Linked DNA regions of Elephas maximus indicus. The protein of the gene in region 1 purifies or fractionates together with the protein of each later gene. This does not show direct contact. Links are inferred from orthologs where the notes say so. Each region holds a gene or a part of one and is shown in the gene's direction. Other genes may lie near its edges.

Region 1 (3,744 bases):
ACCGGCTACTCCTTTGAAACCCTATGGGGCAGTTCTACTCTGTCCTATAGGGTTGCTATGAGTTGGAATCAACTCAATGGCAATAGTTTTTTTGGGGGGGGTTTTTTTTGGATATAAATTACTTTTTTTTTTTTTAATAATTTTTATTGAGCTTTAAGTGAACGTTTACAAATCAAGTCAGTCTGTCACATATAACTTATTTATTTATTTATTTTTAATTCAGTTTTATCCCCACTAGAAGGGAGCAGTACTCAGAATAGAATCAAGGCAAGGGGTAGAGGGGCTAATGGTTAAGAGCCTGGCTGCTAACCAAAAGGTCAGCAGTTCAAATCCACCAGCTGCTCTTTGGAAACTCTATGGGCAGCTCTACTTTGCCCTATAGGGTCACTATGAGTGGGAATGGACTGAAACCCAACAGGTTTGTTTGTTTGGTAGACGGTAAGCTCCACGAGGGCGGGAATTTTTGTCTGTTCATTACTTATTCTTAGGTCTGGCAGCAGTACCTTACACATAGTAGCCGTTTAGTAAACATTTACAGAAGGAAGAATGCAGGTACTGAGGGACTAAAAGAAGGAAAAACAGGCAAAAAGTAGGAAGCAGGTAGTAGCCCCACCTCGGACTCAGCCGGCGCCTGCAAGAACTACAACTCCCAGCATGCCCCGGGGCCCAGGGCGGGTCGCGGCCGCCCCGGGCAGAGAGCAGGACCCAGCCCTTCGGGCTCCCGGCGTGCCTTGCGAGCGCCGGCGCCGCCGCAGCGCCCGCCGGAACTTGTGGTCCAAGCGCGGGTGGGGGTGGGGCCGGGCTTGGAGGCGGGCGGGGGCCGGGGGCGGGCGCCGGCCCCTCCCCCGTCACTTCCTGCCAGGCTGCGGGCGCTCCAGCGGCTCCTCAGCGTTTGCGCCGGCAGTCGCCGCCGCGTCTCACTCGGCTCCCCTGGTCCCTGACCCCCGGCCCGGCGGCGCCCGCCCCTCCACGGCCACTCCGCCTCTTCCCTCCCTCCGTCCCTTCCTCCTGTCCCTTCTTCCTTCCTCCTTCCCCTCTTCGCCGCCGCCGCCCAGGACCGCCGGCCGGGGGACGCGCTCAGGGCAACAGCCAGGTGAGGCGGCCGGGCCTGGCCCGAAGGCGCTCGCGCGGGCGCCGCAGCCGCGGGGAGGCGGGCGGCGGGTGGGGCCTAGGCCTCGGCGGCGCCGCGCGCCGGCCTCCTCTCCCGGGCCTCGCTCCCGCCGGCCGGGCCTTCTCCTAGGAGGCGGGTCGTTCTGCGCCCCCGCCTCGCGCCGCCGGGCGGCCTGGCCCCCGGGCGCCCGGCCCTCTCGGCCCCTAGCTGGGGCCAGAAACAGGTGCCCCGACCGCCTTTCCTCATTCCTGGCCGCGCGCTGGATGCCGGAGTTGTTCCCGGGGCGGGGGAGGGGCGAGTCTCGGCTCCGGGCCCCGAGGTCCACGCGCACGGCCGGCCCGGCCGGTGGCACAGCCGGCGCAGGGGCGGCCCAGGTGTGCGACTCGGGGGCTGACCCCGCTCTGCCCCCTTGGGCCAGTCACTTCAGCTGGCAGAAGGGGCTGATACCGCCCCTGCCCCTTAAGGTTCTCAAGGTTCAGTGAAACGGGGCGTGTAAAGCACTTACCAGAGTGTCTCAAAGCGTCAACATTATTTATTAGCGCGATCACAAAACCCAGCGCGCGATCAGTAAGGTGTTTAATTAAATGGATAGAGGGCGCAGAAACTGACCTACCTACCCGTGTTGGGATCCTTGGAAGCGGAAATGTCTCAGCGTGCCCACTGCCAGCGCCAGGACATTGTTTTGGGTTGTTAACCCAAAGGGGCTTACGTTTAATTGGGACACTCTGCAGTAGGTAGCCTGTAAAAGATAGCTGCTGTTATTTCCATCTCATCCGTGTGGCCAACTGCAGGATTTTCACCACTGAGAGCAACCTGTCCGCTTCTTCTGCCATCATCCGGCTTCTTGTTGTCATCTCACTTCTGGGAAACTTGCTGGCAGAAGCAAACCTTTCTGCAGCACCTGCTGTGGGGTCGGGTTCTGGAGGGGGAAGATGGTGTACAAATATGAACAAACATGTCTGTCTGTCCCTTTCTTGCTCTACATCTCGAACTTCTAACTTTTTGTCACTGCAGCTTTGCTTTTATTCCCTCCGTTCCCGTTGGCTGACTTTCATTTTAAGCCCTTGCCCACCTCCGTGTTGCAGTATTGCTTGTATGGAAGTTTTCTTCTGTTCCAGCAAAGATGTGTGCTTCAGTCTGTTCTGCCCTTCTCTGGCTGTGGGGATGTTTTTAAGGTCACTCTTCCCTTCTGCCTTTAGCTTTAATTGTTTAGAGGGTGGGAGAAGGAGTGAGTTAAACTGGGTTTTCAGATGATTTGGGTCTTTCAGGAATCAAAAGTGCTTACCAAATGTAAATGACATTGCTACTTGTTGAAGTTAACACTAAAAATACAATTGGATCCTAGAGGGAGCCTTTTCAATCACCCTGGTGACAGGTGGGATTTTCAGAACAGTGACTTCATTGAAGCATGCCGAGTTTTTGTAATTATGTACTTAGTTGTATAGGTATACCCATCAGTAAGGTAATGCAACTCATGGAAGTTTAGATTTACAAAGGAGTCAGGAGTGTGTTTGCACTCCTGGCATAGTGGTTAAGAGTTCAGCTGCTAACCAAAAGGTCGGCAGTTTGAGTCCACCAGGCTTTCCTTGGAAACCCTATGGGGCAGTTTTGCTCTGTCCTGTAGGGTCACAGTGAGTTGGAATCGACTTGATGGCAACGGGCCTTTTTTTTTTTTGGTTCTCAATAATAACACGCATGATCCAAAGTGGCCTCCCTCTTCTTGACATTTTCTTAGAATTTTCTGACTCAAGGCCTTACCAGGGTTTCTAGTTTAAAATCTTGGCTTCGATGGCTTTTTAAAAACACCTGAGCAAACAACTAAACAACACAAAGCCTGTGTTCTACTCCCACATCGCTAATAGTAACGCTGGGGAAATGGTGTTTTAATATTGCAGTAAATAATGTAAAGTTTTTTTTAACTTTTTATCATGGAAAACATACAGACGCCAAATACTATACTGTAGAAAACCCCTGTGTATTGGTCGCTCATCTTTGACAATTGTTACCTCATAGCCAAGGCCAGCCTTGTTTCATATTGTACCCCTCCCCCAAACGATTATTTTGAAACAAATCCCAAACATCCTATCACAACATTAACGATTTCCACTTTTACCAGATTGCCCCAGTCTGTCACAAAATTTACTTTTAGCAGAGTCATACTTCTTGTTTTGTTAGGATTCTCATCTCTGTTTAGACAGTGTTACTATAAAAAAAATAAAATTTTTTTTATAGTGTTACTATAGAGCAGAAAAAAGAGCAGCAGCTTGATTAGTGCTTAATTCAGTGTTTCTCCCCATCAAACTCACGTCCAAAATATTGGTTTGTTTCTTTGCATATGAAAACAATAATTTTTCTATTAATGACTGTAATTGAAAAGCAGTCAGAAATAACAGATTTTCCTAATCCTATCTGCTGGGGACCTACCTGTTAAACCACTTTTTATGGAGAATTAACTTTGCATCCAAGTTAAAGTTAATTATTTATAATGAAAACCTTTAAAGTTTCTTTATAGTAGTTGTGTAAATATGTTGATCTCAGCTTAGGTTAAGAATTAAGTAAAGGGTATTTGATTTCAGTACCCTCCGTTGTAGAATTATTTTCCAAAGACTGCCCCCATCTGCCTTATTTGCAAA
Region 2 (3,744 bases), on another chromosome or scaffold:
TGGCTACAGAACTGGACAGCAGAGGTATAGGACCTACTCATTATCGCAGAAGCCTTTACTGGACAGTGTTGCACTAAACAATGAAGAGTGTAGTTATCTGTTCAGTGTCCTCAGCTCTTTCAGGTCTTCCTGCAAATGCCATCTTCTCATACTGAGGCCTTCCCAACCACCCTCTTTTAAATTGCAACCTTGACATTCCCCATTTCCCTTCCCGATTTACTTTTTATCTTACCACTTTTCCCCTCTTTGTTTCTTTTCTGTTTCTTCATCTGGCACTGTGTGGTCCGAAAAGGTAGCCACCAGCAAGATGTGGCGGCTGAGCCCTTGAGATGTTGTCAGTCCGACTTGAGCTGTGTTGTGAATGTAAATACACACTAAATTTTGAAAACGTGGGAAAAAAAAAGACCTCATAATTTCTTATGTTGATTACATATCAAAATAACAATATTTTCAACACAATGGGTTAAAGAAAACACATTATTAAAATTACTATGTTTCTTTTTCTTTTTCAGACATGGTTACTAAACCAATAAGAAAAACAAAAGCCAAACCCACTGCCCTCTAGCCAATTCCAACTCACAGCAACCCTACAGTACAGAGCAGAACTGCCCCATAGGATTTCCAAGACTGTAAATCTTTACGGAACCAGATTTCCGTATCTTTCTTCCACGGTGCAACTGATGGGTTCCAACCACTGACCTTTCAGTTAGCAGCCGAGCGATTAACCACTGAGCCACCGTTACTACTAGAAAATTTAAATTACACAAACGGCTGGCATTTGTGGCTCCTTTATATTTCTACTAGACGCAATCGTCTAGAATGTCAGCCTAATGAGAGTTCATACAGTGACTGGCTTATACTAGGCACTCAATAAAATCTTAAAGAATGAATGTTAGCCGGAGCCTCTGGGAACCCGTTAGCTCTCACAGCCCACACTGCTGGAACTCTAACAACATCCTGGGCCCCGCCTCCTCGCCCCACCAGCTAAGGAAACTGAGGCCAGGTGAGATGACGTCAGCCCTTGCCCAACGGCACGTAGCGCGAAAACGCGGCGTCAGGATTCGAACCCGGGACCTGTCCCTTTCCCTTTGGTGCGATGACCGTTCCTACCTTGCAGGGAAGCGGGGTAAACAGGAGCGGGACACACGATGGACGCCCGACAAGGAGCGCCGCTCCTCGACCCACCACCACTCTCTGCCAGCCCCGGTCTTCGCGGGGCTGGACCCTCAGCTCACCCCTCCGCGGCCATCTCCACTGCCCCCGTCTCCGCCGGCCGCCGAGCCCTCCGCAGGCGGCGCCGACCGGAAGTTCCGCCTCCCCGCGCGCCTGGGAGGCCGCGACAGCTGCGCCGGCCAATGGGAAGCGCGCCGTGACTGGAGCTGACCAATGGGTGCACGCGCCGGGGGGGCGTGTCCGCGCCGCGGGCCGGAGCGGGTCGTGCGCGCTGAGGAGGAGCCGCCGCCTCGTCGCCGTCGCCGCCGCCGCTGCCGCCGCTACCGAGGCCGAGCGGAGCCGTTAGCGCCGCGCCGCCGCCGCCCGCCCGCCCCGGAGAAGCCCCGGGCCTGCCCGCCCGCGCCCAGGTGAGGCGGGGGCCTTCCGCGGTGCCCCGCGAGGTAGGCCGCGGCAGGCCTGAGCTCGCCTGGCCGGGCCCCGGGCGTCCGCGGGCCTGCACCGGCCGAGGCCCAGGCCGCGCCGGGCCGGGAAGGAACGCGCGCGGGACGCGGGTGTGCGGGGGGCGGCCGGTGTGGGCGCTGGCGACAGAGCCCGGGCCGGATTCCTCGGCCGCCGCGAGGGGCGGGCGAGGGGGTACACGGCGTGGGCACGCGCCTGGCGGCCAGGCTCCGCGGCCGGGGCCGAGCGCTGGGCCTGGGGCCCGGCAGCCTTGGGAGCCCGGGATCCGGGGGCGGGAGAGTGAAGCCAGAGGCGGGGGAGTTGGGTGAGCGCGGTCTGCGCACTGAGGTCGCCCGCGGCCTCCGAGCTCGCTCCCCCGGGAAATCCTCCAGATTCTTTTGTGGTCGTTGTCAGAGGCCAGCGACCGATCTGGGGTCTTTTTTGAAGTGTGCAAACCTTTCGGTGTGTACGGGAGTCCCAGGAAAATGTATTTTTTGAGCGCCATCTCTAACAAAGCTGTTTATGGGGCGTGGGATGTTCGGGTTTGTAAAATGTGTGTTGAAAACACAAACTGCACGCATTTGAACAATGGGGCATGGATGCTCTGGCTTCCTTTTCCGGTACCCTCTGCTACTAGGCTTATTAAAATGGGTTCTGGTACCTACTGTGTGCAGGACAGGTGAGGAAGAACTTCTGCACTGCCCCTGGAGGAAGAGTCGCCCTGACTGAAAGTATTCTAGTGGGAGCCGATGGCTTATGCTACAAGAAGTGGGAAGCTGGGGAGGATGATGGGACTAGAGAAGGGTTTCTTAACCAGGGCACTATTGACGTTTTGGGCCAGATAATTCTTGCTTGTGGGACACTGTCCTGTGCATTATAGGATGCTTAGCAGCATTCTTGGCCTCTACCCACTAACCACCAAAAAAAAAACCCATTGCCGTCGAGTCAGTTTTGACTTATAGCGACCCTATAGGACAGGGTAGAGCTGCCCCACAGGGTTTTCAAGGCTGTAATTCTTTACAGACGCAGACTGCCACATCTTCCTCCGGTGGAGTGGCTGGTGGGTTCGAACCGCCGACCTTTTGGTTAGCAGCCCAGTGCTTAACCACTGTGCCACCAGGTCTCCTCTACCCACTAGATGCCAATAACATCCTTCCCTTCTTTTTCAGTTATGAGGCTCAGAAATGCCTCGAGACATAGCCAAATCCCCATGGGGGCAAAACCACCCCAGGATGAGAACCACTGGACTAGATGATCTTCCACTGAGTCCCTCAAACCCCATCCTTCACTCTTATGCCCTGGTGTTCAAGGCTCCCAAGAGCTTGGATAAGCTGAACTGTGAGAGCCTTGGTTTCCCTGTCTGTAAAATGGGAAGGACAAGAATATTCTTGTGCAAATTTGAGAAAACAGTTTGAGAAGCCCCTAGCATTGTGCCTGGCCTGTGCATGGTAGGTACTGAATAAATGACGTTCTAAATAATTGCTGATATTTATTGAGAATGTACTGTGTGCTTAAGACTCCGTGGACATTTATCTCCAGCCTGTGAGGTAGGTACTGTTATAATTTCCATTTTACAAATGAAAGCACCTAGGCTTAGTTGAGTCACTTGATATGACTAATCTCACTCAGTAAAATGGCCAAACCAGTATTTGAACTCGGGCCCCTGACTCAAAAGTTCTTACTCTTAACCACAGGGTTTCATTGCTCTTGTATAGGTAGTCCCCAACTTATGACAGGGGTTATGTTCTGACAACTCTGTCGTAAGTCAGTTCCGATGTATGTCGAATATTTCATTTTTTTAAAAGTTTTCATCATTATTGCCTTTTATTATCAGTATCCTTGTAAATCATAATATTGAATGTCTGCAAGTGTGCACCTGAGAATAACAACAGCAAATTATGTGCTGCAACGTTGTATGTAGTACACATTAATAATATGTGCAAAAAAAAGCAGAACGACAGACAATGGTAAGTGCAGTTTGTTGATGGTAAGTGCAGTTTGTCGTAACTCTAATACGTCATAAGTCCGGGACTACCTGTATTCACAAGGGTTCATGAGAGCCCTAGAGGCAGGGTTTCCAGGAATTGCGTTTAGTTGTCATTGAGCATCAATTGTGTGCAAAGCTCTGCTGGA

What was found.
Region 2: the proteins of STAU1 (region 1) and ELAVL1 purify together in Homo sapiens (affinity purification with mass spectrometry; 3 studies listed by BioGRID, with this or other methods). This does not show direct contact. The link is inferred for Elephas maximus indicus from reciprocal best matches to the Homo sapiens genes STAU1 and ELAVL1.

The regions. Positions count from the first base shown.
Region 1 is NC_064843.1:20,399,199-20,402,942, forward strand, and holds the start of STAU1 (double-stranded RNA-binding protein Staufen homolog 1), read left to right. Parts: upstream 1-842; 5' UTR 843-1,093; intron 1,094-3,744. UniProt on the Homo sapiens protein: Binds double-stranded RNA (regardless of the sequence) and tubulin.
Region 2 is NC_064821.1:12,746,738-12,750,481, reverse strand, and holds the start of ELAVL1 (ELAV-like protein 1), read left to right. Parts: upstream 1-1,449; 5' UTR 1,450-1,580; intron 1,581-3,744. UniProt on the Homo sapiens protein: RNA-binding protein that binds to the 3'-UTR region of mRNAs and increases their stability.